3 linked regions of the Pelodiscus sinensis genome follow. The protein of the gene in region 3 interacts with the protein of the main gene of each other region in a biochemical or structural test. Links are inferred from orthologs where the notes say so. Each region holds a gene or a part of one and is shown on either strand. Other genes may lie near its edges.

Region 1 (10,505 bases), on a different chromosome or scaffold from region 3:
GTACAGGAAATATTCCTCACATGCTGGTGTTTTTGGTTTTTTGTTTTACTGCCATGATGAGACACATAAATATTATATGAATGAACTCTTCAACAATCTCCCAGTAAAATGCTTTCTATTTATATAAGTAAATTTATGCTCAGACACCCACTTACTAATCATTCAACTGGACACTCTGTCATAAGCACTTATAGAGGAATCTATCAACAAGTTTGGCTCCAGTACAAGTAATTTTATTGTCTGTAAAATGTAACATAATGACACACAGTGTATACATTTTAATCCTTTAAAATCATATGTAATGTCAAATAGACATGTTCTCACACTTGTAAAATATTAAAGTTAATTTATGATAAACTGATGGATCAGCAGTATTTAGGGAGAGTATGCTTATTGGAAGAAAGCCAGTTAAGCCTCAGAAATGGAAAGACCCTGACATAACCTTTGTTACTTTTTCATTGTATGTAACTTTTATGTATTTTGACACTGTTGTTTATATTTAATAGTCAATCCTGAAATATTTTGTGATACTTTGACTGGACAGGTGGAATAATTTTGGAAACCTGGAATTCCTGAAGTATAATTCTGACTTGCTTTGTGACATTGGGCAAATCACTTAACCTCGTTTTGTTTCAGTTTCCTCATCTTTAGAAAGAGTGAAGCATCACCTTTGTAATACATACTGATCTCTTATAGTGACTAATGCTATAGAATTGCAAATATAAGTCATCCCCTCACTAAAGAAGCCTATGTTGAATATGATTAACCAATAGGCCCAATAAGGTTAGGCCTAGCTACAGGATCATGTGATGTCACAATAACATCATTCCACACTTTCTAGGCATGAGGAGGAAACTTGCTTCATGAACAGCATGCCCCAGGCAAAGGAGGTACTGCATCAGCTGCCTTGAACTGCATCCGTTGCCTCTCTACCCACAGCCAGTGAAGAAGAAAAGGGGAGAAACTTTCCTTTCACCCTCCCACTTCCCCCTCCCTGCCATATGGACATGGGGTAAAGGTATCGGAAGGCCTGGTCTGTCAACCTGACCACAGTGGTTAGTTCAGTCACCAGTATCTTCTCTCTTATGGTAGCTGAGGATGGGGGACGGGAGTGTCTTACACTTCCACTTTGTTGGAGGCCAGGGAGAATATTACTGCTGATCTCATTTAGCTGACCCATGAGACACCTTCCTCTTCAGGGGTATGTCTAGACTACATGGCTCATTCGATGGAGCCATGTAGATGAGTTTACTAGACCATAGGAAAATGAAGCTTCATTTACATCAAAATAGCCGCCGCGCTATGCCGATCAGCTATTTGGCAGTATAGCGGGACAGTCTGGATGCGCTGTGGTCGACAAGGGAAACTTTTGTCGACCTCTCCAGTAAAGCTCATTTCAGAGGCACAAGGGAGCAGTTGACAAAGGCTTCCTTTGTTGACTGCGGCGCGTCCAGACTGCCCCACTGTGCCGCCAAACAGCTGATCAGCACAGCAAAGCGGCCATTTTGATGTAAATCACCGCTTCATTTTCCTATGTCTAGTGAATTTATCTACATGGCTCCGTCAACGGAGCCATGTAGTTTAGACATACCTCATCAGTTTTTCAGAGCCTCCCTCTCCTCCACAGCAGTGCCTTTCTTGTGATGGGGGGAGCTCCGCTCCACACCGCTCACTAGACAACATGATGCAAGAAGAGAGCTTTCAGTCTCCACCCCGAAACAAAGGGCCAGAACAAGGAGGCCTGCAGTCGCTCCTTGCTGCTGCTGTGAGGGCCTCCCTTGATGCCTCATCTGTTGCATTTATTTGAGTCATACTCCCTATGAAGCAGAGGGTCCATGGAGGAGAGGCTCCAGTAACCCTTACAAAGGAAGCCCTGTGAGGAGCTGGGAGTGGGGAGAGAGCTCTCTGGTACCATCATCCTATCCACCAGGTGGGTCTGCCCCACACGCCCTAGCAATGGTGGTAGGAGTGGCTTCCTACCCCTAAGGTCCTCAGGTAGAGTTGGAGATGCTGAGTGTCTATGATGGGTGAATGGTAAGCATATGGCTGGATCATGTGTATCTGTGACAGGCTATTTGATATGTGTGATAGACTGGAGAGATGATGTGAGGGAATGACTGAAGGATTGAGAGCTGAAAGAACACAGGCGAAGGACATGACACGTACAGAAAGAGGAAGGTGAGATGAAGGGACAGCTGTGAAAAGGCACCAGCATATACCGTAAAGGGGATGAAAGGTATGGAAAATGGAAAAAGATGGAAGAATAAAAGCAATGTAGAAATAGGAAATTACTTTTAAAAAGGTGTTTAACAGAAACTGGAATGACTATGTTATAATCAATGCATGCCAATAGTGGTTTCTAATGATAATGAGCACTGGGAATTTCCCTGCTTCCAGTGGCATTCATCGTCCTCTGTAGATAAAGCTGATTCTTTTCTGCAAGTGGGTGTTTCTAAGGCATGGTTCATGGAATGTGCTCTGCCCCTCCCATCTTTAGAATGTACTAGATTGCACCAAATGACACTTTTTAAAAAAAGGTTCCTTTGGAGGTTACCCCTGGATTCCTTGGAAGAGCCTTTTCTCCAAATTACTTGTCAACATGTGAGGCACTTAAAAGTATTATTTGGATTGTGTGGAGCTGCATGCAGGCCTGGTGACAGGTGAAATGAAATGCACAAGGACCCCTGTTGCTGAAAAGCTAAAAAAGTATTACAAGTGTGTGAGAGCCCAAGGACTGAGAATCCAAGAGAATAGAGGTGCCACCCAGTTTATAAATATTCCCCTGTTGCCATGTATTGTTCCAAGAACAAGAACATAACAGAGAGACAGGCACATTGTCTGTGATATAAATGATGGTATTGATAAAACAAGTGAGAATAAAATTGAAAACAGGATGGGCAGGCAAGAATAGGGAGGAAAAAAGGTCATGTAGTTACTTACTAGCTGATACATCTTGTTTGGAAGTATAGTCTACAAACAGCATGCACAAGTATGTTTATATGTGTATTTCTAAGACACTCTAGACTCTCTTTCCAGATCTCCTCTGTCACTGTCCAACCCTCCCTACTCACCTATTATCCAGGGCATTTAAAGATCTCCTGTCCCCTGTAAACATCCATCCAAACCACACTCCAACCCCCAGGCATGCCACCTTAGAAACATTTCACATTCTATTTGCTGTCCTCATTCCGCCCTCCCCACTGCTCCTCCCAGAAAAAGCTCTCTGCTGATCAGGCAGCTGATAATGGAGCCAATCCACTGGAAGTAGGGCTTCTGCCCCTTATAGTGCTGAGGCCCAATGACCTGAAGTTCTGCTTGTGCTTTGAGTGGCTTGTTCCAGGTGGCCAAGACCAACTGGTAAAATATCAAGATCCTACCATAACCTTGAGTGCTAGTGGGATGTCTCCAACATATTGACTTGGTATGGGCAAGCCCTGAGCCCTCAGGAACATACGAATTGCCATACTGCATCAGACCAATAGTCTTTTGGGTCCAGTATCCTGTCTCTGACTCTAGCCAGTATTAGATGCACAGTCAGCTTCCAGGTAAGCCTCATTATGATCTCTAATGGTTACAGACCGCAAAGTCTTTAAATAGACTCTACATTTCTACTAGAGCAGTGGTCCCCAGCCTGTGATCCATGGACCCCTGGGGGGTCCATAACAGTACTTTATAGGGTCCATGGAAAGTTTAGGAAAGGAAAGGAAATAAAAGTAAGGATTAGGCTCACCATGGGACTGGGACTATCCACCAGACAATTCTCACGTGGGGCTCGCTGTTTGCAACCGGCCTCACCCGCATGCCACCTCTGGCCCTCAGGATGGGATCTTGATACCCCAGGAGGCAACATCCATCCTCCCACCGCTAGCTGCACTGCTATCCATGCTCAAGCCCTCTCCTGCTACCAGTCCCGCAGTGGGCCCAATCCTTCCTTTTCTTTTCCTTTTCTTTTTTTTTTCTCCCCCAGGACTCCATGCCCAGCCAAGGGTGGAGTGCTGAGGCAAGACCTGCCTTTAGCCACGACAGGCCCCTCGCCATATCCTCCATGGAAGGGCAGGGATGGAGGGGCGGGAACTGAGAAAGCAGTTCAGGCTAAGGGACGTGATAGCCACCACTTCCTTTGGGGGATGGGGTCCATAAAATTTTAACAGATTGAAAAAGGGGCCCTACGCTTGAAAAGGTTGGGAACCACTGCATTGGAGTTTAGTTTGGGTTGCATCTTAGCAATGACAGGGCTAATTTCAGTCCTGCTTGGGAGGAATTCCCTCTGATTGGTTGCTTGCCCTACCTCCTGAGGAAAAGCAACCACTCAATGCAGCTGTAAGAAGCTGGAAGTGTTCTTCCCACTCCAATCAGGAGATGGCCCCATTTCTTACAGGAGAGGAGAGAACAGAAAGAGCTCTGTCAACTAGGGTAACTGCACTTCTCCCTTCCCTCCCCTGGATTGGCTCCTCTCCACCTCTACCTCCAACACCTGGCTTGGGAAAGGGCAGGAACCTTGGGAGTTACCTCCAATCCTGCTGCAGCCCCCTGGCTCAGGAGAAGTGGGTGAAGAGCAGCAAGAAACAGGGGAGCTGAGGTGAGAGGTAGGAGGAAGTAGGGGAAAAACTCATGTGGGGACAAAATTGATGGGCATCAGGGGGCAGAATTAATTGCTGGGCAAGTGATGGCAGATGTAGAGGTGAGGGCTTCTGCAGCAGGTCCCCAAATCACCTTAACAGATTTTCAAACATTGGCAACACAAATTGTACATCCACTTGGTGGGTACAATGGGAGTGCAAAAATAAAGTCAGATCAAAACCATAACCCAACTAAATATTTTTATTGCCATGCATTAGGATAATTCTGCAGAGATGCTAAGAAGCTGGCCTGGATTGATTGGTGCAGCCACTCCTGTTGCTACTGGTGCATTTCTTGGCTTCTTTATTTGCACAGCAGCACTTCAACCTCCTTTTCCATGACTAGTGACACAGCTTCTGGCAGAGCACTGATCTTGCTATCCTGTTGCATTCACTGTATCCGGACTAAGTGTGAAACAGCTTGGGACAGGCCTTATCCCAGTCAGGGTGACTATTTTCTGTTGTCACAACGTTCAGGCGTATTTGGGGGACAGCACGCTTGTGAATCGTGAGTATACAAGGGGGGAGGACGACGAGAGACGCCCAAATAAGTCGAAGACACCTTGTGTGCACAGGAACATGGGCGAGCCCAGTACACGCGTGTGCAAAGTGGCTGTAACTGCCGGGGTGGGTCTGCAAGAAGCAAGTGAGCACAATTTGCGTGTTGAGGGGCTGGGGTGGGGGCGCGTGAGTCGGCGCGCCCGGTGTGCTGCTGGCATGCCCGCGAGCCTGGGTGAGGCGCGTGGCCCGCTGCGGCCGGCGTTAGCGAGGGTGCAGCGTGTGCGGACACGTGTCGGTGCCGTAGCACCCAGGGCGCGGCTGGGCGCAGGCCAGTGGCTTCGCTCCGTCCGCCCGCCCGCAGCCGGGCTCGAAGGGTTGGCGCGGGGCGGGAGGAAGGCGGCGGCGGCCGCAGAACAGCCCCCTACAGCAGCGGGCTGCAAGCGCTGCTCCAGCGGAGCGCACTGGAGCAGCGCCGCTGCCCTTTCTCGGCTGGCTGCCGGCTGGGCGGGGAGGCTGCCGCTGGGCTGGGGCGGGGATGGCTCTGGCTGCGGCTGCGTGGAGGCGGCGCCGGGGTGGGAGGTGGGTTTAAAGCCTATTAAAGGGGGAGGGGGGCGGTGGAGATGATGCATCCTAAGCTGGAGAGTCAGCTGAGTACGGAGCAAGATCTGGGCGGCGGGGGCACGTAGCCCCGGGTTAATACCAGCAGCTCGGAGGAGGGAGCCGGGTCCGCAGCGGCGGTTCAGCAAGGGCAGAAGTTTTCTTTGTAGCTCCCCTCCCGTACGGAGGGGCTGCCGTATATATTTTGGCGTGTGCAATGGGAGTTTAACTTTCCTCCTCCCCGCTGGGAAGACCCCCCCCCCCCCCCGTAGCTAGCATCCCGCGCTGCCTGCTGCACTCCCGACCCCACCGGAACAGCAGCCACAAAACTTGATCGGAGCGTGCGAGAGGGAGGGCGAAGGAGCCAGACGCGCACAGCGAAGCACTCGAGAGGGGGAGGGGGCACTGGTGGTGTCCGGAGCAGCCAGAGGGAGGCCACGAGGGCGAAAGAGGCGCCGGGCAGCAGCAGGTAAGAGACTCAGCAGGGCAGGGGAAGGGTGCGCTGTGAAGTGGGCATGCCCCGTCCTGCAGGCGTCCCTTGCAAGGGGCAAAGCAGCGGGATCTGGCGGGAGGAGGCTGCACGAGCAGGGAACTGCTGGGAAAGGTCCAGGACTGCGAATGCAGAATGCGCTGGCTTAGGCGCTCGCAGAACAGGCTAGGGTGAGGGAGGACGCCTGAGGCAATGAGGCTAAATTACAAGGGGACTGCGCGCGTGAATGTACATATCGCCTATAAGCTGGTTGGGAGCTTGTGCGCTGAGGGTTCCTTAGTAGCCGAGGTTGGGAGGGGGGCGGGGGAGAGGAGTACGCAATTCTCTTTCCCTGACTTCGGATTTAGTTGGTCACTTTCAAAACTTCCTCATTAAAGCGGAGTGGAAAGCTGGAGCCACCTCCCCCCCCCCCCCCCCCCGCCTCCACTGACAAGACTTCAGGCGAGTTGAGTGCGGCGAATCCGTTGTTAGTAGTTTGCCGTGCTCTCTTGTCTCTCCTCCCTTGGACCTTTATTAGCCCCTTGGGGGAGTCACTGAGCCTGTGTGCATATTTGAACCATTTCGTTGTCAGATCTGAGATCCTTTCAAGCCCGAAGAAAGGAGGAGGGGGCTGGACTGCAACGATCAGAGGGGATCTTAAGTCCACAGAATAAGGTCCATTTCCCACTTCCACCGGTTCTTAGGCGTGCTGTACTTACTGGCCTGTACTTGTATTTATCGGGAATTGAAACAGCTTTTACAGGGCCTCAGGAAAGCTAAACTGTTTCTTTTGTGTTGCTTTTCCTAGAGGTATTAAAAGTTTAGGTCTGAAATGCTACCCCCATTTTTCTCTTTTGGCAAGGAGAATAACTTGAGGCAAAGGACAGATCACAGAAGTGCCACTCCGGATGCTGCTGCCTGCCCTCTCTTACTTCTTCCCTCTTCACCCCCCCCTTCCCCAGCTATCCTCAAAAACAGATTTGGGAATAAGGGGAGTCTTTGAACATTTTTGTGGGACAGTATTTTGGTGGCTTTTGGATAATATTGGGTAGTTTCTTGTAACCCAGAACGTGTGAAATAAGGCTTGGCAGGGAGAGGTTTTTACTTTCTTGCCCTCCCCCACCTTCAACTCATGATTGGAGGTAGAGCAGGAAAAATCTGTTCCACATGGGCTCCCCTTCTATACCTTGTTTGCCTTGTTGCAAAAACTGGGACCTAAACTTTATCATCTTATAAAAGAAAGTCTGCAATTAATTGGTTTGGCAGACCATAGAATCATTGAAGATTAGGGTTGGAAGAGACCTCAGGAAGTCATCTAGTCCAAACCCCAAAGATGCACTAGTGCAAAATCTCTTAAACTGCCAGGCCCACCCTACTCTCCCCCCTTCCTTAAAATCCACATAACATTTAATTTTAGAGTAGTATGGAGAGTGCTGATTCAGCACTTGAGAGCACCACTGTATCTGCAGTGGTGTTCTGTGTAAAATGTTTTGATTTGTTGAACTGGGAACATATGTTTCTGGTATGTCAAAGCAATACCGATCAAGGTTCACAAAGCAGTACTGTGCTTGTTCATGATCTTACTCCTATAAAGTGAGAAATAACAATGGGCATTATGAAGGGGGTGGGATGTTAGATTTCTAAAATTTAACTTAATAGTCAAATGAAATTGTATTGCATCTGGGAGGTGTGATCTTCTGAACCAAGCTTTTGTAGGTGGTGTGATCAATAAACAGTTGTAAGATTTCAGTTTAACTCATTCTTAAATCCATGGGCTAGTTGTACTTACAGCATTCAGAGAAACAGAGGAGGGCAACAAGGCTAATCCTAGGATAAAAAGGAGTGAGTTATGAGGACAGTTTAAAAAAAATGTGTGGCGATTGGACAACCTGAGTGGAAGAAGGAATTATGCCTGAAATGAAATGCTGTAAATGACAACCTTGATGGCTGCTTCAGTTCATTTAGATAGGCAGACGAGGAGTGAAGGGACATGCAGAATGCTCAGAACATACACATATTTTCCCTAGCAAGGTCTGAATGGAAGCAATGTGGCTATTCAAGAAGCATATTCTTCTCTTTCCCTTGTGTTTTGTCTCAAGATGTACCGTTGTAGTCTAATGAATAAACTTAATCTTTGAGCCAAGTCAGTCTTGATATCAATCTCCTTTTTAAATAAGCTGCACAACACCGAGCAAACACAGACTAAAAAGTGATGTTTGGTAACATCTGTTATGAATGATAATGAAGGGACCCCTCCACATGCCTGAAATTATTGTTTCTTCCTCTCCCCCCCCCCCCCTTCCCACCTGCTAATATTGTAGTTCATTTGCACTCTTTGTTCTTAAAGTAGATCTTGTTTGCTCTGGCTGGATATTCTAGTGAGTTTCCTTGGTTTTTGTCAGTCAAAGTATCCTCTTCCCTACTGTGGTGTGTGTTGGCTTCCAATCTCTAACCCAGGTGTAACTTGCTTTCAAAAGAAATAATAAACACCACTTTGAAAGCATTGCTTAGATGTAAAATGGATATCTGCATTTCATGTCTACCCATGGAAAAGAACAACTGTAGTCATAAAGTGAACATTTGCAACTCGCTGTCTTGTTTATATTCCATGACTCTGAATCTAACAAGAATCACTACAAGTTACCCTACAAACTGTGGGCTGGATCCTGAATTGCAGTCCACTGGCATGTAAGGGCTGAAAGTAGCTGGATCTCCATTGCTGTGGGTTCCTTCCAAGATGGGATGTTGCCAGCTGGCATGAAGACAGTATAGCTAGGCCATGTGCCATCTTCCAACAGCCCTTGCAACACTGGTGGGAAGGGGGAGGATGTTAATCTGACAGTCCCCAGCTAGCAGATGTCCCATTGGAGACTGTTAGCAGCTGGTGTACTGCAGAGCAGCTCTAGGCTGGGAGCCACAACCAACTTCACTTAGGTTTTCCCCTTAGATTATTTGTGGTGTCTCCGTATGTGTATATTGAGGTGGTAGTGCCTCACTGTGAATGGAGAGTTGCACAGCAAAAGCCTCCTTGCCAGTCATATAAAGGAATAAAACACCAGAGGGCTTTAGGGGGTAGTACTAGCTTGCACTTGTAGGACTCTGGGTTGTACTTAAATCATTTGACTTGTTTAGGTAAAGTTATCACTGAATATAGTAAAAACTCTAATTCCTTTACTTTAAAATAACTTTGAAAGTAGACTGAACAAACATTTAAAGATCAGTTAGCAATGTTGTATAACTTAATGGGTAGTGATAGTGTTGCTGTATTAATTTCTTGGCACTGTCATTCTATCCCTCTGTTTAAAGATTTCTCTCCCATCCATACCCAAGCTAGGAAAAGCAGAGAAACTATTTTTTTGAAACTTGAGCTGTCTGACACTATGAAATGTCCAATGGGCAGGTATGACATTGGATCTTATTTTTGCAGTATTTGCAAGCATAGAATCATAGAACACTAGAACTGGAGGGTACCTTGAGAGGTCATTGAGGCCAGTCCCCTACCCTCATGGCAGGAGGCATCTTTTTACGTAGCTTAAAGTGTAGGATGAGATGTCCCCAATAGTTGAATAGACATGTCTGAGCAGGCAGATCAGCTGCATCATCTTGTGGAGGTGCCTGAGGGTCATTCATATTGTGCATTCTTGCTTACCAAGCACTATTTGAATTATGTGTGATAGGCGGACGGAAACCCGTCCACTTCTAAAGGCCCCTCCACAGCCTTGCGGGAGGGACCAGTGGACCCAGGCTTCAACAGAATACTAGTGACAACTAATGAAAAACAGGGTCAGCAGTATGGGTCACACTAAGGTTAACTATGGGCCAGAAGGCACCATAGCTCTACTCACTGTTCAGCTTTTCCAGAGAAACCCTAAACCATGTTTGTCTTAGCGTTGTGTATCAATTTATCTCAGAATCATATGGCCCTACCTGTCAAGCAGGGTGCCTATACAATGGCTCTCTGTTACAGTAAATTTTAATGTTTCAGCTTTGTTCGGAGACCAGAGTCAGTAAACATGAACTAGGTCCAAAAAGGCAACTCCACACAAGTAGGTCATGATGAACGAGGTAATTGTAAACATATGTTTACTTAAACTACTGGTAAACTGGCATCTGATTCTTCCCAACCTAAATCAATGCCAGTTTCTACTAGTTCTCAGCAGGGAAAAAATAGGAAATCAAACTTTTCTGGCAGGGTGTATCAAGCATACTGTGGAGGAAATGTTCAGCCATTCAGTGAGAGCAAAAAGGAGCTTGAGAGCCAAAGTTCTTATGAGCTGGGACAACATTGGCTTACAAAGCAACAGTTATGGTTCTCATAC
Region 2 (10,016 bases), on a different chromosome or scaffold from region 3:
TCTTGATCATACCACAGGCAGCTGCTGGCCTGTCCCATCCTCCCATTTATTTCCCCAGCTGCCCTCCACCCCCCAACTTTGCTGGTCCTGTGGCTGGAGGCGGGGAAAGAAATTTTACTCCTGCTGCTGTTAAGCATAGTGTACATAGGCGACCCCGCCGGCCCCCGTTTCGGGGTCCTCTGACCACGTCCCGTTTGGACTTGATTCCCACTCAGTGCCTAGTCTTCCCGCCTTCAAGGCGGTGAATTCGGGTTGTCGGTCGTGCTTTATGTAGCTGCACGGCCGGTCCCTAGCTCACACGTTTCTCCCCCCTTAGGGAGGGGGAGGGAAAGGGGGGCCCGGGCCCGCCCTCACTCACGGGCCCCAGCCCAGGGCCCTAAGGACACGGAGATATTTAGCTCCGGTCCGGCTGACGAGGCTCCATGCCGAAACGCGTCAGCCCGCCAGCTCCAATGAGCCCTGCCCTGGGCTGCTTCCTTTCCCTCCTCAGGTGCCCTTCCTCCCCCTCCTCGGGGCGGTCACCTTTGGCTCGTCCGTCAGGCTGGCGGTCGGGCGTCCGTATGCCCGCACCTTGCTCTGGGCTGGCTCCACAGCCCAAGAGGACTGTCGTGGCCGGGCTCAAAGGGAGGTGGTTTCTCCCAACCTCCGCCTCTTTGGCAACAAGCCCGCTCGCGGCTGCCGCCCGACTCCTCTCTCCCCCCCTCGTGAGTGGAAGGGGGTCCATTTTAAATTCCCCGCCGGGCGCCCGCCTCCGCCTACGTCACCGGGCGGGCGTTTCCCCTATCGCCCGTCCGGTCTCCCCATTGGCCGGCTCTCCTGTCACTCCAGGTGGGGAAATGCTGCCCCCGCTATCGCCGCGCCATCCGCCACGGCGCTACCGCTTCGGGGGGGGGGGGCGGCCGGCTTTCCCTGCCCCGGCGCGGCTCGCGTGCACGCCGCGCAGCCCCGGCAGGGCCCCCCCCTTAACCCCAGGAATGCCTGCTCGGCGGCGCCCCAGGGACGGGCAGGGGACGCCCCGTCACACATAGAATCACAGAACACGAGAATGGGACGGGACCTTGAGAGGTCATTAAGCCCCGTGCCCTGCCCTCACCGCAGCACCAAGCACAGTCTGACCATCTCTGAAGAGTGTCTGTCCAACCTGCCCTTAAGTATCTCCAGAGGTGGGGATTCCACACACCCCCAGGCAATTTATTCCAGTGTTTGACAACCCTGACAGGGAGGAAGTTTCTCCTAACGTCCAACCTAAACCTTCCTGGCTGCAATTTAAGCCCATTGCTTCTTGTCCTAGCCTCAGAGGCCAATTTGTCTCCCTCCTCCTTGTAGCATCCTTTTAAATACTTGAAAATCGCTATCATGTCCCCCCTGTCTTCTCTTTTCTAACCTAAACAAGCCCAGTTCTTTCAGTCTTCCCTCATAGGTCATGTTCTCTAGACCTTTCATCATTCCGTTAAAAGCATTTCCAGAAAATCATGCCAGTCTAGATGTAGCCCTGGTGTGGACCCTGGGTTACTTCAGTTGCCACAGTTCTGCCTTCTTCTGGGGTGGGGGTAGGGCAGCAGTTAAAGTGCTGGGGGACAAGTCCTAGGACAGAATCAGACACCGGAGGGACACCGGGGGAACACAGAGCTCTGCTCACAAAACCAGGCAGGGTCAGGCAGCCAGACAAAGAACTTTAAGGGGACACTTTCAGGAGCAGGGAAAACAAGCTCATGAGGGGAACCAGTTCCCTGTTGTACCCTCCGCCCCCATCTTTCAGCCCCAAACTGACTCCTCTGTCCCCACACCAACACTGTTTGGTGATTGCCCCTCTGTGTTCTCTGGTGCTGTTTACACGGGGGGCTGAGCAGGCCTCAGAAAACAGTCCCCTCTCCAGCTTGCAGGGGAACATGCCAGCTGCTTGACATACCCACTGTGGTAGCCTAGCTCTTAGTGCTTAAGAGGAGTTAGTTCTTGAACAAATGGACTCACAATGGACGGACAGACAGACACACCTACCTTTTTAAAAACAGAGATATAGATTTTGAGTGTTGCTTGATTTTAGCCAAACTGTGTTAGTTTCTATTATCTGAAAAGTGTGACTCACCAACTTTTTAAAAAAAATATGCCTGCCTGGGGAACGAGTCATGTGTGTTTTGCTATTCTCAGGGCTTGTATTTTTCTGTAACAGGGTTTCATTCACCTGGGCTGGGTCTACACTGGCATGAATTTCTGGAAATGCTTAAAATTGAATACTATTCCGTTTTCAGTTTTTCCGGATAAGGAGCGTCTACATTGGCAGGCTGCTTTTCCGGAAAAGCCCTTTTTCCGGAAAAGCATCTGTGGCCAATGTAGACGCGCTTTTCCAGAAAAGACTACTGGGCTGTCTACACTGGCCCTTTTCCAGAACAGTGTTCCGGAATAAGGACTTATGCCCGAGCGGTAGCAGAATAGTTTTTCTGGAATAGCGGCTGATTTTGTACAGTAGAGCATCGTTGCTTTTCGGGAAATTCAAGGGCCAGTGTAGACAGCTCGCAGCTTATTCCGGAAAAGCGGCTGATTTTCCGGAATAAGTGGCCCAGTGTAGACACAGCCCTGTTGTTTTAAATCTCTAAACTGAGCGCTCAGTTACATCAACTAGCTGACTGGCTGCCAGTGATTTCGTAAGAGGAAGAGCCTGCCTGGATTTCAACGGAAGGCTCTTACAAGCAAGAAGATGTTTGCTTTTAGATGTAACCAAAGACCCCGAAATGCAGGTGAACCCCACCAATGCCTTTGGGAACACTAGAGTTACTTCTCACTGTGTTTCTGCAGGTGCTGGCCTGGTTAGATTGAATTTGTTTTCTTTCTGGGTGTGTAAAACTGGAGATAATGAAAGCAGATTATAAAGCAGCCACCTTGTGCTGCAAAAACAAAGGTAGTCGTTATGTTTCTTTATCAGAAGATTGGACAGAATTGCTTGTGTGTCCTTACAGGCTGGCTTGGTGACAGGTGTCTTGAAAGAAATCAACCAAAATAACCAGAACTGGTGTGATTATGTTGTGTTATTCTGACACATCAAATATGCAGAATTTTGCAACATGTGAAAGTAGTGCGCACAGAATGCTTAACTTCTCCTGGCAGAACTGCCCCAGGAGTATCATCTGCACCAGTCAACACCAGGCACCCTGCGTAACGCAGGCTGCCGGTTTAAGGTCTCTTAGAACCGCTGCATGCGGTGTGGGACAGTTAAATGGTTTAAATACAGCAGGTTAATTAAATTGGTGCAAGTTTGTGTGTAAATAAAGTCTAAGGGAGCCTGCCCAGCAGAGCCCTTCTCCTCTCCCTGGGCTCCACAGCGCCTTCTCTCTCCTCCTCTGCTTTGCACTCTGATTCATCCAGATCGGAGGGAGGCTGGCTTGGTGGCAAGGAAAAAGTCTGACTGAGACCAGAAAGCGGGAGGGAGCGTGTCCAGGGACACTCGGGGGGGGGGGGGAGGGTTGTGGCTGCACCCCCTGACTTGTGGCTTCCGTTGTGTCCAAGGGGTGAAGTTTAGCTCAGGGGCTCTCAACCCCCCCCCGTGCCAGCGCATTGGCCCCCTGCTCCGAGTTCCTCTCTGGATCCCTCCTTACCAGATGCTGAGAAGAGTGTCGGTGACTGGAACTGCGAGAACGGCTTCTCTGCTCCAAAGTCCTTCCCGGGGAGGCCGCCTACGTAAGAGCTCCCCTGCAACTGGAGTTGAGGCTTTTTGGGCTTGCCCTGGGGCAGCCCCGAACCCTGGGGTCTGAGCGCCATGCTGCCGCCCCAGGCAGAGGCCTCAGCGCAGCAGAGACCGAGTCAGACCCTGGCCCGGGAGCAGGAAGTCGCTGCTGTGCCGAGTAGGAGGAGGCAGAGCTCGAACCTCCCTCCCCCCCGGACTCCGAGCCCTTGGTGAGGCAGGCTCAGCCCATGGCTCCCCAGGAGAGTTCGCTCAGCGAGCGTCCCAGGGCCAGGGTTTAAAGCGGCTGTCATGTGGGAACTGCGGTAATCTAGTCACCTTATACACTGGCAGCAGAAGAGAGGGCCTGGGAGGAACCTGAAAAGCCTTCCTTCACAGACAGTCTAGGGCCCAGACCCCAAATCAGTAGGAGCTGGACACTTACATGCCTTTGGTAAACCCTGATTGGGGTGTTAAATCTGCAGGTGTAGGAACTCCTTGCGAGAGGATGTGGTGAAGCCTAGAACTTTAACAGGGTTCAAAAAAAAGCTAGATAGATTCATGGGGGTTAGGTCCGTCAATGGCTATTAGCCAGGATGGGTAGGAATGGTGTCCCCAGCCCCTGTTTCTCTGGAGGTGGGAGACAGGGCAGGGATTCCCTGTTGTGTTCTCTCCCTCTGGGGCATCTGGTATTGGCCACTGTCCCCAAACAGGACACTGGACTGGATGGACCTTTGGTCTGACCCAGTGTGGCCATTCTTAATGCTGTACAATGTTGCAGCCAGGCCTCACCCTAGAGGTGGCTGCATTTTGAGACTGGGTGAGCAATCTCTCACTATCCAGACTGGAAAGCACGGTGGTGACATTTATTAGGAGAATATTTATATTAGCAAACAGATTAACAAACCCTGGTTCGTGCTGTTGGAGGATCAGATTGTCAGCCACTCCCGATGGGGAGTGATGGTCCGATGTGGAATCTGGGAGGAGAATCCAGAGACGATGCGGAAGGTGTATGAACTGGTCCTGAGCGGGACCAGGGCCGGCCGGCTGCAAGACAGTCACCAACACCAGGTGGAAGAGTTTTAGAGGAGCCTCTTAGAACGGCTGCACCCAGGGAGCTCCGGACTCCAGTCCTGGTCCTTCACCCCTCAGCAGGCTGTGCTAGGGCTCACACAGCCCCACCAGTCCCTCACCAAGGCCCCGCCCCAAGGCCTCACTTAGTCACGGAGACCCCTCCAAAGCTCCTGCTTCCATTAGCACTGACCTCTGGGGAAAGAGGCGCAGCAGGGGGTGGGGCCCGAAAAGCGAGGAGGAGCAGGGGGTGGGGTCTGGGGGAAGAGGCGGAGCAGGAGGTGGGGCCTGGGAGGAGAGGCGGAGCAGGAGGTGGGGCCTGGGGGAAGAGGCGGAGCAGGAGGTGGGGCCTGGGAGGAGAGGCGGAGCAGGGGGTGGGGCCTGGGGGAAGAGGCGGAGCAGGATGTGGGGCCTGGGAGGAGAGGCGGAGCAGGAGGTGGGGCCTGGGGGAAGAGGCGGAGCAGGGGGTGGGGCCTGGGAGGAGAGGCGGAGCAGGGGGTGGGGCCTGGGGGAAGAGGCGGAGCAGGAGGTGGGGCCTGGGGGAAGAGGCGGAGCAGGAGGTGGGGCCTGGGGGAAGAGGTGGAGCAAGGGGTGAAAGCCTGGGGAAGAGGCAGGGCCCATGGGAAGAGGTGGGACGGGGGTGGTTCTAGAAGTTCGGAAGTGTCCAGATTTCTGAAGTTTGAAAGTTGAGCAACCCTGCAGCCAAAGATGGACGAGTCCAGGTGCCCCCAGCGCTCCACTGAAGTGCACCAAAGCAGCTGCCCCGACTCACCCTGGCTGCGAAATCCAGCTTGACCCTCCTCCCCCAATCACTCCAGGCTGCCAGAGCCGGAGGCAGGAGAGCCCCCGGCGTGCGGAACAGCAGGGCGGGTGCTCTGCGGTAGGGGGCTCCCGCAGCCCCTGGTTCCCAGGAGGAAGGGTGGCACTCCCAGACCCCGGTGTGCAGGGGAGAGAGTGGGACCCCGGGCTCCTGGAGGGGAATGCAGGGTGCTCCCCAAGCAGAGTGCGAGCCCCCTCTCTCTACGCCAACAGCTGCCTGAGCCATTTGCTGTCACCCTGCCCTCCCCCTCCTGCTCTGCAGACAAAAAATTGGCCGGTGTCCTGTCCTTCCCAGAACAGCCGCGCATTATTGATCTATATATAGAGGCGGGGAGGGGCTGTGGGGCAGTCGCGCTGCGGCTGAGCCCATCCTAGCACAGTCAGCTGCTCCCTGGTGCCCGTCCGATCGCTGCGCCTCCTCGCCCTCCAGCCGGACACCGCTCCCCCGCCGTCTCCTCTGAGCTCAGTAAGACGCTGCTTGCTTTCTCTCCCCCGGAGCTATGGGGGTCTCACTTTGCTCCCAGGGCTCTATGCAGCCTGTAGTGACCGGGGTGCCAGGCTTAGAGGGCAGGGGGGAAACTCAAAGGGAGGCGTCATCTTTCTAACGAGTGCAGGACCGGGAAAGGTCAGAGGGCCTGGCGGGGAGACGGGCTCGGATGCTTCCCTTTGGGGTAACCGGGAGCGAGCTGGACTGAATTCGCTCTCTCTGGGCAGGGACCAGAAACGCTCCGCAAGCCTCCTTCTGTGTCTGCCTGGCTGCGTCTCTGTGGCCGGCCCCTGCGCTATCCCACGCCTGCCCCCAGAGCTCCTGCCTCTCTTCTCCTCTCGTGCCTGTTGTTTTAACCCCTGGGCCCGGAGCTGGAGCTGAGGGACAGCTTGTCTGCGGGGAGAGCCTGTGGCAGGGAAAGCGGGGGTGGGCTGGAGAAGGGGGTGAGCTGGGGGGGCTGGTTTGGGTTAAAAAGTCGCTCTGGGCAGGGGCTAAAATGGTTCTTTGGCGTCTCTCTCTGTTTGTGGCTCTTCTGCCTCCCAGTCCACTCCCTTCCCCCTCCCAACCTTCAGCCGACATTCCCGCCCCATGGAGAAGCTGTCCCTGCCCCCTTTGGTGTCGGGGGGGGGGATGGCCTCGCCCATCGCTACCCATTAGGGATCCCTCCCTCCTGCTTCCGCCTCCTCCCAGCCCCCCTCTACCCCTTATTCCCAACAGCGCTGTGGACAGGTGGGGGAGGCCACGGTGAGACCCAGCTGCTCACGCCCCTCGGGAAGCGGCTTTTCCTGATTCTCAGATGTGGCCTGGCACTGGCATTCAGCCCCGTCGGGAGGGGGGGGGGGGGGCTCCGTCTTGCAGGCCGCTCCCCTCCGGAGCAACGGCACAAGCTCCACAGAGCCCCCTGGCCAGAAGGGCCCTTAGCCCGACCCCCTGGATAGCACAGGCTGGAGATGCCCCAAATATAACCCCCCCACACACACCCACCCCGTGCCTCATCCTGAGCCTCTGCTAATGCCCCCCCCCAGCTCCCTACGCAGTGCACCACAAGGCAGAGGGACCCCTGCCAGGCCACCTTGGCAGCTCCAATGCAGCGCAGTGCGGCCGCACACGCAGCAGGGCACGGGGCCCCGTGCGACGCAGCTCGGCACGCCCCGAATTCACCACACGTGCAAGGCGAGGCAGCTGAGACAGTGGCCGGGAATCAAGTCCACGCTGCATGTCTGGCAGGCAACATAATTCCCTGCGACATCTCAGACACCGAGGGCACCCCCAGGTCCCAGGCAACGCAGCCCCACAGAACCTACCGGGTCAGCAAAGGCCCATGGAGCTTAGTGTCCTGTCTGCCGACAGCAGCCAATGCCTGGTGCCCCAGAGGGAGGGAACAGAACCGGGAATCCTCGTGTATCCCCTCCCCTGTCGGCCATTCCCAAATTAATATAGTAAAATATATAAAAAATAAAACACATACAAATGTGAATCCCCAGCTCTCTCCTTCATTCGATCTCAGGGCACTCGACTAAGGGCGATTAGGATAATTTTATGGCTAGGGAAACTGAGGCACAGGGAAGTGACTTGCCGAGCGTCTTCACGCAGCACCGCTGGAAATAGCAGCGGGTCTCCTGCCTCCCAGTCCAGCCCTTTCGCCCCAGGCAGTACGCAGCCCCCACAGCAAAAGTGCCCTGCAGCAAAATGGCAGGGTAGCACCACAACTATAACACTGCCAAGCATTGTGCAGTGTGGCCTAGTGGCTAGCATGCTGGCCTGGGACACAGCCAGGCCCAGGGCACAGGTGGACAATTTCGGTCCCAGGCCTGCGGGAGGATGGGGACAAATGACGTCCCTTGCCTCACTTTTCCCACCTGTAAAATGGGTCTAAGGCTGCCATTCTCTTTGATAAAGCTCACTGAGCTAGACTGTCAAAAAGTGCTCGATAAGAGTTGGGGGATTACGACTGTGGTGACCAACACAGAACCCTGGTTCTCAAATATTAGCAACCGGGGCACCTCCAATTGGATTTAAATTCTTTGAGGACCCCCAAAATGGCTTCTCATTTTAAGCCCCACTCAGCCCCCACCTTCCCCCAATTGTCCACTCCTTCCATGTCCCTGCCCTGCCTCTTCCCCACCTCCTGCTGCCCACTCCCCCGAGCACCCCCATCCCCTCTCCCCTGCACACCGCAGAGGCAGGGGCGGGATTGAGCAGCAGGGCCGGCAGCCCCAGACAGACTGGCAGGCCCCACGCTGAGGACCAGGGCTCTGGCACCCAAGATGCAGCTAAAGGCTCCGTGATGTTGCTGGGCTGATCCTTTCCAGCCCCTGTTCTGAGGCAGGAGCATGTAAAACGTCAACACCCCCTCCACCCCGGCAGCCGTTCGTCTAACCTGTGCTTACAAGCAAGGGTGGGAACAGCCAGTGTCTCCCTGCGGAGTCAGAGCCTTTAGCTTCCCACTGCGCCACTGGAGCTACCGGCGGCCAGCAGTGACAGTAAGTTCACATTTCATACAGGCGCTGTCCTATTGCAACCCGGGTCCCCGCCCGCCCTTTCAACAGCGCCTTGCTTTTACCCCAGCTCAGCCAGCCCGTGCCGGAGCTGCGTGCCATGGCGCCCCCACTTTCACCTCCACCGACGGCAGAATCAGACCTGCCCCCCCCTAGCGCTGCCACAAGGGGGCTAAGCCCCACCTGGCCATTGCAGCTGGAGCGTTCCCTGCAGGAGCGGCAGGGCGGGGCGGGCTGAGCCCAAAATAATCCCTTAACCCCTCCTTGCCCGGGGTGGGGTTTGGACACCCCGTCCCACTCCCAGGGCAGCATGTGGGGGGAGCACGAAGGGTCAGGGTTGCCGGGGGTCTGGTGTTGAACCGGACAGTCCCGTAGCTGAGCTTCTGTTCGGGAAACACACTGAGAAACTAGAAATGAGGCAACAGAAAGGCCCAGGATTTCCTAACTCAGATGGGCTGTAGACTGGGATGGAATGTCAAGTGTGTCTGGTATTTTTGTTGAAACCATCTGGGAACCCTGCGAAGGGCCGTGTGCCCTCTGAATACGCTGGGGCAGGGGCCAGGGGCCAGCAGCCGGCAAACGGTTCATCCAAACACCCTGGTGTCTGGCCCAGGCAGAGCCGGCCCAAGGTACGGGCCAGCCGAGCTATTGCCCTGGGTGCCCCATTGTAGGGGGCACCGCGTGGGACTGCTGGGCCAGGCAGGGGCGGCACCATGCATGCTCTGTGTGCCCGGGGGTGGGACCACGCATGCTCCTGAGGCCCGGGGCGTGCAAATGGGTCAGGCCGGCCCTGGGCCCATGCTGCGGGTATTCACCTGTACTCACCGCCCCTGGACTAGGATTGGCACAGGAGGAGTCATGTGGGGGGGGGGAGGTCACATGACTGGTGCCCCCCTTGCGTCCCCCCCCCCCCCAGCAGTGGCCACCGCACGCTCCCACGTGGCCGACAAAGCCGACGATACGACGTGTGCCCCCCCCCCGGCCTCTCACCGCAGCCAAACGCTGCACAACCGAGGCAGGGCCGGGATGGGGAATTCACCGTGGGCCCCACTAGCCCCCTGGCCACGTCCTGCCACGCCCGGCCCACGGCAGCGGAGGGAGGAGAACGGGAGCCGTATTCGCCAGGAACGGTGCCATTCCCAGCAAGGCCTGTGGGGGAGGGGATGGAAAACAGCGGAGGGGCAGAGATCTGGAGGGGGCGCTCGGCTCCCATTACCGTGTCTGCTCCAACCAGCTATTTATAGGCGTGTGTCACCTCCCCGCCATGCTGGGCTAACATTCCTCAGGCTGCAGGGGCCGGTGGGGGCGGGGGGCGGGGGAACTGGCTGATTGATTCCAGCCAAGGGCTGGATCCGGGACCAGGACCGTTCCTGGCGCCGGGCTCTGGGCTGGCGGGTGAACGGGGCCCACGAGTCGCTCTGTCGCCCCCGCCAGCGCCCGGCCCCGGCATGTCGACCTCCAAGCAGCGCCTGATGCAGGGCATGCA
Region 3 (9,848 bases):
GGTCCCAAAAACAGAGTGGTCCCCCCCCCAAATAATTAGTCCCTTCTGAAAAATGTGACTGTGATTTTTAAAGAACATTCAGTGTGCTAAGTATTAGTAACATAGACTCCCTCCTAGGCTGTCTCCTAGTTCAGAGTGAGTTTCCCCCTGTAAATGTCACTCTGTGTCTATCTATACTCATTTAAGGGATGGTTAAAGAATAAACCAGAGAGAAGCTGGGATAACCAAAACAGGTTGAAAGTGCAGCTGAAGGTGGAGGGACATCCTGGGTATGTCTATTCTGTAACGCAAGCCCAGGCTTAGTAGCACTCCACTTAGCAGACCCTGGACTTGTTGATTTAGAGCAGGGTTTCCCAACCTATGGGTCGGGACCCAAATCTGGGTCGCCATTACATTTCAAAAGGGTCACCAAGTGTCTCTCCAGGTGGCTCTGCCCTCCCTCCGTTTTTCAATTGCCTTGGGTCACCAAGTCTTTCTCAATTGTCAAAATGGGTCCCCATCTGGAAAAGGTTGGGAACTGCTGATTTAAACTCATTTGTAACCCCAGGCTAGGAATTTTTGAACCATGGGTCCAAACCTGGGGCTTCAGCATCTGCCTTGCCTGAGCCAAACTATGCACATCCCTGACTTCCTAGTGCCATCCCAAAATATGGCTGCCTTAACCCTTAGTTTGTGGTGCAGTGTGGGAAAACTTAACTGTCCAACACAATTGACTGGCTAGAGAAGTGTTTCTCAACCTTTTTTTTCTAAAGTATTCCTTAAAAAAAAAAAGTTAGAAGTATCCCCAGTACCTACAGTTTTCAGACACACACGATTTTTTTCTACCACTGCAACACATTTGTTTAACAACTTAATCGTTGCCGGGTGGGCAATGAAATTTTTGAGTGTAAAAAGTACAAAAATAATAGAGCACTGTAAAACTTAAAACAAATTCAGTTGTCTCAATTTCAGTAGTGTTGACGTACCCCCCCAGACTTTTCTTGAGTACTGAAGGTACTCGTACCAGTGGTCAAGAAACACTCAGCGAGAGGACTAAGACAGTTGGACCATGGGACTGTGGGATATTGTTGGCAGACTCCCAGAGCACAACTCCAGTGCGGCAGGAAAAGGGCTTGAACCCAGGCTGGCAGCTTGACTCAGGCTTGTACCCTCCACTCCCATGGGGTCATTAGACCCTGGGTTAGTGCCATTTGCACACAGATGGAAGGGGTGGGGGGGCTAGGCTTGAACCTGAGTTCAAATACTGGGCTACACTGCAGTGTAGACATATGACATTTACAATAGGTGGACTCACAAGCTTCCACAACTGCGGTTTACTCTGGCAGTGCCTCACTAATCCTCCTGTGATTTTATCCAGGTCAGGGATAACTACTTTTTTCAACTCCAAGGAAAATATATTTAATCCACTTTTAGATAAGCCCAGAGCACAATCAGGCATGTGCAGGGGAGAGCATTCCTACCAGGCCAGTTCTGCCACATGAGTAAGCTGGAAGAACAGCCGTACATCAGGCAGAAATGCAAACATGATGACGGATTTGTCACACACGCCATCAGAGAAAACTCAGCAGCTTGTGGCCATTTAAACAGCACTTTTCGGCTTTTTAACCACTCTGTGAAGGTGACGCCTGTTAGGTAAATACCTACCAGTTACTCCTGACTTGCATTGGAGTAAAGAACAGAATTCAGGCTCGACATCAATATGGAAAATTCTGTGGTTCGGAACTGGTCAGGTTCAACCTGTCGTCCAAACTCCCAGTCTTGTGCTCTAATCACCAAGCTTAGAGAACCTCAAACCTTTTTGCGGTGTGGATCACATCTAAATATTGTTCTAACCTAATTCCTCTCTGATTCGTAAGCATGTGGATCACTTTCTCATCCAACCACAATTGTGTAATACCCACGTGCCAACTGCAGCAACTCTTTACAAGGCGAAGTAACAGAGGGAAACAATTTAATAATATACATTTGGATTTCTTAATGCAAATTAACAGATGGGGGGGGAAAAGGAGGAAAGCCATTGCTATGTGACCCGCCAGCTCTATGTAGACCAGTGGCAAGTGTTCTGCAGTTCATCAGTGCCCTATGGATTATGGATTATAGTTTGGGAGCCTCTGTACCAGGTCCCGTATCAATAAATCTAAAACTTAAGTAAAGGGTCTAGTGTACAGTGAGATACTTGGAAAAGGAGAGGCAAAGATTTGGAAAAAGAATAGTTGTTTGCCTATAAAGCACGTTAGAATGATACATTTTCTGTATACAAAGAGTTTGCATAACTCACAATCTTGCATAAGTGGGACTGTGCAAAAGCAGACAAAATTATTGGAAGTAGTTCTCTTGGTTGCCAGGAAATGTATTGTGATGCATTAGCTCAAGGACAAACAACAAACATTTAAAGAATGGAGGGAAAGCATCAAAGTCTGTATCCCACGGAAGCAAGAGATTACAGGGAACACTGCTCCCAGGCTTGATTCTGGTCCTACGCTATGGTCTTCTACACTGATTACAAAGCTGGGGTCAGCATTATTTCAGCTTAACATGTGTGTTTCTGTACAAGAATGTTTGCTAAGGTAGACAAGGCATCTGTGTGCAATAGGGACAACATTGCTGACTTTGGTGACATGTGGTGAGGAATTTGGACTGGTCTACACACTGGTTTGACTGCTATAAACTATACTGGCTTAGAATCAATAGTTAACTTCCCTGCAAAGTGGCACTAGTTTATCTACTAGGTATTTTAGAGAACCTTTTGATCTGTTTGTTCAAGAGCTCCTCCTAAACTATAAGAATTAGGACCACCACATTTGGTAAGCAGATTCCTTTTGTCATAATTTAAAGCCAGGTCAGGGTTTGGCTGTGCCAGAATAAATGAGATGTTCCTGGAATTCAATTGTTTCTCATAAAATGGAAAGGGAGGGAGTCTAGTAGGAGGAACAGTTATACTGGAGAATGACCATGCGGGGGCAGCAAGGAGCCAGAGCAGGGGACCAGGACAGCTGTACCCCCATTGAGCCCCCAGGGATGGAGAAAGGGACAGTAATCTACTATATATTGCAGAGACTTTATCAGTCTGTCTGTCTCCCCCAGCCAGGGAACATGCATTCTGCCCCTGGATGTGCTCGCTGCAACTACATTGGCCATGGACAGGTACTGCTCACCTGGCCCTAAGCTGCTGTAGTGAGAGAGGGCTGGGGTTGTTCTCTCTCCCCAGAGCAGCCAACATATTGAACCCCTCATTGTCACCACCACCACTCAAGAGCAATGATACAGATGAAAAAAACAAAACGTACTTAAGGACCCGAGCAACGAGGGGCAAATCTAGTGCATGGTTTATAAAAGTGCTTATTCCATATTCAAAGTCCAATACATCCCCAATGTGCCAACATGCTCTGTAACTGTTCTTTGTTATTTAATAATCTGCCATCATTCAAATTCCCTTTTATTCTCCTACCTGCTGCTGTTCAGCTTGGTTGTTCAGTGTCTGCCTGTGTGTGACACGAGTCTGGGCTTGGGGAGGGTTTGTGCATTTGCAGGGCTGGGGCACTCTGCAGGTGGGCAAAGAGGTAAGGAGTATCCTGTGCAAGGGTCACCTGGTGGAGAGAAGGCAGTGGCATTGGTCCTGGGTGGTAGGGGTAGGCTGGCTAGTCCCCAGGGCTGTGTGCAGTGGCACTGGTGGTAAGGGTACATGGTAGGGTAAGCTAGTCCCCAGTGTGTGCAGGCAGGCAGGCATTCATGGGTGAAGGGCTGGCTGCAGGTCCAGCTGGTCCCCAAAGGAGGGTGACGGGGCAGGGTACAGGGCAGGTTGGTCCCCAGCAGTGGGTGCAGCAGCAGCAGGTCCCCAAGGGTGGGTGACAGGGGTGGGGCAGGCTTCCAGTCCCAGGGCTGGGGGCAGCAGTAGTGGGGCTGTGGCAGGACACACTGGGTCCCTGGGGCTGTGGGATGGGGGAGGGTGGCAGGCTGGTCCCCAGGGGGGCTAGGAGCAGGCTGGCCCCCTGGAGCTGGGGAAAAAGCGGGATGTGGGGCAGGCTGGCTCCCTGTGGGGTTAGGAGCGGGGTGGGCTGACCCCCTAGAGCTGGGGGAGAAGCGAGATGCGGGGCAGACTGATCCCTGGGGGGCAGGAGCGGGCAGGCTAGCCCCTTGTGGGGTTTGGGGCAGGGCAGGCTGGCCTCGGGGGCTGGGGGAGAAGCGGGGTGCAGGGCAGGCTGGTCCTGTAGGGGGCTAGGGGCAGGGCAGGCTGGCTCCCTGTAGCTGGGGGAGAAGCGAGATGCGGGGCAGGCTGATCCCCGGGGGAGGGGAGGGGCGGCTGCGGGGCAGGCTCGTCCCCTCGGGCTGGGGGGGAAGCAGGGTGCGGGGCAGCTGCCGGGCAGGCGGATCCCCTGGGGGGTGGGATAGGCGGGCCCCCTGGGGCTGAGGGGAAGCGGGGTGCGGGGCAGCTGCGGGGCAGGTGGGCCCCCTGGGGTTGGGGAGAAGCGGGCTGCAGGGCAGGTTGCTCCCCAGGGGGTAGGGGCGGGTGGTGGGCAGACGGGCCCCCTCGGGCTGGGGGAGGTGCGGGGTGCGGGGCAGGCTGATCCCGGGGGGGGGGGGGGTGGGACAGGCTGACCCCCTGGAGCTGGGGGAGAAGTGGGGCTCGGGGCAGGCTGATCCCCAGGGCAGGTAGGGGCGGGTGAGGGGCAGGCGGGCCTCCTGGGGTTGGAGAGAAGCGGGGGGCGGGGCCGGCGGGCCCCCTGGGGCAGGGGGAGAAGCGGGGGGCGGGGCCGGCGGGCCCCCTGGGGCAGGGGGAGAAGCAGGCTGTGGGGCAGGTTGCTCCCGGGGGGGGTAGGGGCGGGTGGGGGCCGGCGGGCCCCCTGGAGCAGGGGGGGAAGCGGGGGGCGGGGCCCCTGGAGCGGGGGGGAAGCGGGGGGCGGGGCCGGCGGGCCCCCAGGGGCAGGGGGGGAAGCGGGGGGCGGGGCCGGCGGGCCCCCAGGGGCAGGGGGGAGAAGCGGGGGGCGGGGCCGGCGGGCCCCCAGGGGCAGGGGGGGAAGCGGGGGGGCGGGGGGCGGGGCCGGTCGCTCCCCGGGAGGAAGAGCCCGCAGCGGGGCGCGCGCTCTCGGTTGGCCGGGGCCGTGAGGGGGGAGGCCCCGCCGCTCCAGTCCCGGGGGCCCGGCAGGTGGCTCGCCCCTCCCCGGGGCCCCTCCCCCGGCCGCGTCCCGTCCCCAGCCCGGCTCCGCGCCGCCTCTTGCCGCCGCCCGCTCCCAGCTGACGGGGGCAGCCCCTTGTTTACCGGCCAGGCAGGCAGCCGCGAGCCCGGCCCGCGCCGCCAGCGGCCCGACGAAGCGGCGGGAGAGGCGGGCGCGGGGCCCGGCGGCCTCCGAGCGGCGGAGCATGGCGCTGAGGGCGGCGCTGGCGCTGGCGGTGGCCGCGCTGCTGGGGGCCTGCTGCGGCCCGAGCCGCGGGGAGAGTAAGTAGCGCGGGCGCGGCCTAGTCCCCGGGGCAGGTGCCCCCGCCACGCAGCCGGCGCTGAGGGGAGCCGCGCTCGCCCGCCCCCCGCCGCGCGGGCTGAGGGAGCGTCTCCCCCGCGCGGAGGTGACTGTGCCCCCTGCAGCCCGAGCGGGGCGACAGGGCGGGAGGGTCGCCCTGACACCGCCCTTTGTACCTGAGCGGGGGGGGGGCAGTTCCAGGACTCCCCCCCCCCCCCCGAGCACTTTCTTGCTTTTCATCCCCCCCCCCAACCAAATGCCTTTCTTCAGGGTGGGTTTGGGTGGGAGCTATAATGAGGGGCGGGAGTTGCCTTAAATGAACAGAAAGTGGCGTCTATGGAAGGACTGACTGATTGATTGATTTGTGTATTAATTTATGAATTAAAAAAGGGGAGTCAAGGTGCGCGTGGGAAGCTCTCCGAAATGCAGCCAGCGTGCAACGTACCTGCGTGTGACTGAAAAGAGGTCTAGCAACAGCTACAAAGATAACGGGGGGTGTTTATTGGAACAGACACATGGACTAGGTCAGGAGGAAACTCCTTTATTCCTGCTTTGCTTGGCATAGGCTAGTTGGCATTAAATGTGCCCATCTGCATTTTTTTGTTAAATCTCTAAGGTGCTGCAGAACGATTGGTTGTTTTTTAAGGTGTGTGTGTGTTTTTTTTTCTAGTGCAGACTAGCACGGCTACCCCGAGACATTTGTTTTTGGTTTTTGTTACTTTGGGTTCGGGATAAATGAAAAATCTTTCGTTTTATGAAGTTGCTGGTAACTTTACCTTAGTGGCCATGAATATTTACTTCTCACAAGTATTTTGAAATGGGGCCTCTAAGTTGACTTGTGAATCAGGGTCTAAAACTGTTTCTCTTAAATGTGGCATTTGGCATGTGCAGGGGGTATAATTGTATCATGTGTGCCTATATATAAAATAGAGGGTTGAGAACTTAGCCCATGCTTTTCTGTTGGAATTTACCCTACAAGTAATGTCTTTGTAAGTCTATTTTTGTTTTAAACATGAAAAAGCATGCCACTCTAGCCTTTTCCTCGCTATATTACAGAATTCTAACTCTTTTTTTAAAAGTTAATTTCAACACCAGATATAGTTTCTGAAAGCTCTTAGCATGGTGTGGGCTTAGAATGGCAAGGATTTTAAATTAACCACAAAATGGTTCTTAAACAGGTTACAGGTATTAAAAGCAAGGGTGTGGAGAGAAGTTACATTAATGGAGGGATTGGGGAGATTCCTAAATGAAGCTCACAACTATCTTAACGAGTGTCAGACCATTGTTTATGGCTGATTTTAGGTGGATAAGCTTGCTTAAATAAATGACTTAAGCTAGCATTTACTGTCTGAATCTAGCTTGTTTTTGTTTTTATAGAAAATGAAAGAACCTGCTGGTAAATATTTGCTTAAAGAGAATTAAGTACTGAAATTGTTCATTTAATAACCTTCATTGTACTTGGCATGTTTCCCACAGAAGCAATAGCAGTAGGGTGGTTCAGAGTCCAGATATTGCATTGATTGGTACGTCACATACATACAATAATAAAGGTTTCAAAGCAAGAAACACTCCTGACTTTTGGAAAAACAATCTATTTGGCTGGTCACGTAATCAAAAATACCTTCCTCTCTTCTCTCGCACGCTCTTTTAAAAAATTATTCATGTATTCACTTTAAAATTTGAGAAGTACTACTGTGTTTTTCAACTAAGAGTTGAGAGATGGCAGGCAGCCCAAACTGTGGTGTGGGGAAATACATGAAGATTTCATTCTCCAGTGCACAACGCTTTAATTTTAGTACCGATATAACTTTAATTCAGTGACCTCAAAGTTCTTTACAAATTGTTACTGGTACAAACAAACTGCTGATCTTGTGGCTTTCTGTAGCACCATTTGTTCTTGGATTGTTTATGTGTTTATGAATGTAATGAATTAATCCTCACAACATCCTTATGAAATAGGGAAGTATTATTTCTGTTTTACGGATAGAGAAATGGGATCAATGTCCACCGAGTCAGACTATAGCAGAGCCCAGAATGGAACAGGGGGATATTACTTAATTTTATTACGTATATAGTGCCAGTACCGTCCTAGGTATGTTAAGGATAGGGATGTAAAATCCTGTTTAATCAGTTAACTGGACAGGTGAGGGGGTTGCTTCAGCTGGGCTGGAGCATGCCCACCTGAGTCTTGTTGCTTAGCCAAGCCTCCTGGCTGTGTCAGGTGTGGGGCTGCCCTGCTGGTTAATTGTAATGTGTAAGCATCACTTGGTTAACCATTCATAACCCTAGTTAAGGATATGTAGGAAAGTCCGTGGTCCAAAGAATTTTCAATGTTGTCTTAATGCCCATGTCACTCCTCTAAACACTAGCGCACACTCTTATATTTGCAGAGCATTAGAGTATGTATTGAAAATAACACATTATTTAATGTGAAGGTGCATTCAGCAGTTTGAAGATGAATGCATACACAATTGTTGCACAAGCAAAAAACCAGTGAGACATTATTGAGGATTTAATTGTTGCTCCATAAGCAGGCTGTTTTTGTTGAAATAAAGTGACTAATTCCACACACACAGGTTATGCCTGCTCTTTTGAATGAATCTCTATCTAAATTACAGAAGTGCCTGCTCTTACAGATGTAAAACTCTGTAAAGTTCCTTAAAAGATGCCCCCCCTCCTATTTTATAATAGGAAAAAGCCAATGTCACCATAGTTGAGATACAAGCCTTCTCTCTTGCAGTTGTAGGGTTCCACGAAATATTCTTTTGCTAGTTGATTTATCCAGTGTTGCTTGGGTTCTTAACTCAATTTTGTTTTTCTTAATTTAAATTATTATTCTGGGTAGGGACGTTAGTGTATAGATATTTAAACAGTGAACTGATAAGCCTGGGCTTATTAGTTAACCAAAACAACTACATGCAACACCTCCCCTTTGCTGCAGAGGCAGAGAGGTCTTAAAATGAGAAGCACTTACCACCAAAAATAACCTGTCAAATCTTTCAGAGGGCAGTCCTAGGGATAGTCAACTTCCTGACAAAAAGTTATGTCAAGGTGAAGGAATATCTTTTATTGGACCAACTTCTGTGGGGGGCGGCGGGAGAGAGAGAGGCTTTGAGTGATTCAGACCTCTTCTTCGAATCTGGGAAAGTGATGAAGAGTGTCACAGCTAAATACAAAATACAGGACTATGTATCACTTTTTGTTTCAGCTACATCAGACTAACACAGCTACATTTCTATCACTAAGCTAAATACAAGTTTGAATAGATATGTGCAACTTAAGCTAAGCTGTTTTAGGGGATCATTGATTTATGTGTGACTTATGCTACAGTATTTTGGGGGCTGGACTCTTCCCTTTTGAGGTGTCTTCCAGCCCTATGACTTTATGATTCAAAGTGAAGTGGCCCTGTGGTCATAGGTCAAAAAGGGGGGTTAGTGGCTGTACTGAGACTTAAAATCTTGTGCCTTTGTTAAGGCCATGTTTTTAAGGGTCTAGCAAAGTTATGAATTCAAGCTCCCTGGCACACTCTTTGAAAGTGCTTTGCGATTAAAAACTTGTCATTTGTGAGACTGGAAGAATATCTGCCTGATGGCAGAGACTTGAACCCCGACTGTTTCCTCCTGAAGTCAATGGGAGCCTTCTGCCTTATCTAAAACGCTTTAGTATCTACTTTTTCACCCTGCGGTTTATCTAGTTCTGTGGCCCAGCAGAGTCATCTTCGATTATTCTGGTCTGTCCTTTGCCTTTTGTAGGGGACCGGTACAGCAGTAAAGAAGTAGGTCCTTATTATGACTTTAATCAGGAGCGGCCCTAGACTAGCTGCCAGCAACTGGCGCCCTAGGTGAACCATGCAATCGGTGCCCCCACCTCCAAACCCCTCAACGATATTGCACCACCATTTGGGGCCCCATTTAACTTGGCGCCCTAGGCAACCGCCTAGTTCGCCTATATGGACGGGCCGCCCCAGACTTTAATATAGAGAACATGAAAATGGTATCAAATCCCAGGTTTAGGGTAGAATGGAAAGTGCAGCAGGCCAGGCTGTGGGGTTTGAATGCGACTGGCATAGGAGAAGCTGTCTTCAGGGCACTAGGGGTATTGCTCTTGCCTCAGCAGAGCAGAGGTCGTCTCCTTCCTTGCCTGCAGGAATAAATTCAGCAGCTGCCTCACAAGGTCATCTGAGGGAGCATAAAGGTAAATGAACAGACTCTCTTCTTCATCACAGCCTCATTTGAACCTGCTTCGCCACACAGACCTCACTATTAGGGGCAGCAAACTGAAGTTTAAAATTAAACCATTTAACTATTAGATCTTTTTCTGTTTGTTAAACCCATTATTGGAGTAGCCGAGGGGAGCCGTGTTAGTCTGTAACTGGAAAAACTTAAAAAAACAACA

What was found.
Region 1: the proteins of INSR (region 3) and GRB10 form a complex in vitro, tested with the Homo sapiens proteins (5 studies listed by BioGRID and IntAct). The link is inferred for Pelodiscus sinensis from reciprocal best matches to the Homo sapiens genes INSR and GRB10.
Region 2: the proteins of INSR (region 3) and TRIM72 form a complex in vitro, tested with the Homo sapiens proteins (2 studies listed by BioGRID). The link is inferred for Pelodiscus sinensis from reciprocal best matches to the Homo sapiens genes INSR and TRIM72.

Annotation. Positions count from the first base shown.
Region 1 is NC_134712.1:156,340,234-156,350,738, forward strand, and holds the start of GRB10 (growth factor receptor-bound protein 10), read left to right. Parts: upstream 1-5,716; 5' UTR 5,717-6,186; intron 6,187-10,505.
Region 2 is NC_134714.1:131,222,167-131,232,182, reverse strand, and holds the start of TRIM72 (tripartite motif-containing protein 72), read left to right. Parts: upstream 1-5,873; 5' UTR 5,874-6,011; intron 6,012-9,964; 5' UTR 9,965-9,978; coding exon 9,979-10,016. Other genes in the region: uncharacterized protein LOC102458195, read right to left, coding at 3,591-3,753. UniProt on the Homo sapiens protein: Muscle-specific E3 ubiquitin-protein ligase that plays a central role in cell membrane repair by nucleating the assembly of the repair machinery at injury sites.
Region 3 is NC_134729.1:20,787,499-20,797,346, reverse strand, and holds the start of INSR (insulin receptor), read left to right. Parts: upstream 1-5,300; 5' UTR 5,301-5,358; coding exon 5,359-5,434; intron 5,435-5,773; exon of another isoform or gene 5,774-5,977; intron 5,978-9,848. UniProt on the Homo sapiens protein: Receptor tyrosine kinase which mediates the pleiotropic actions of insulin.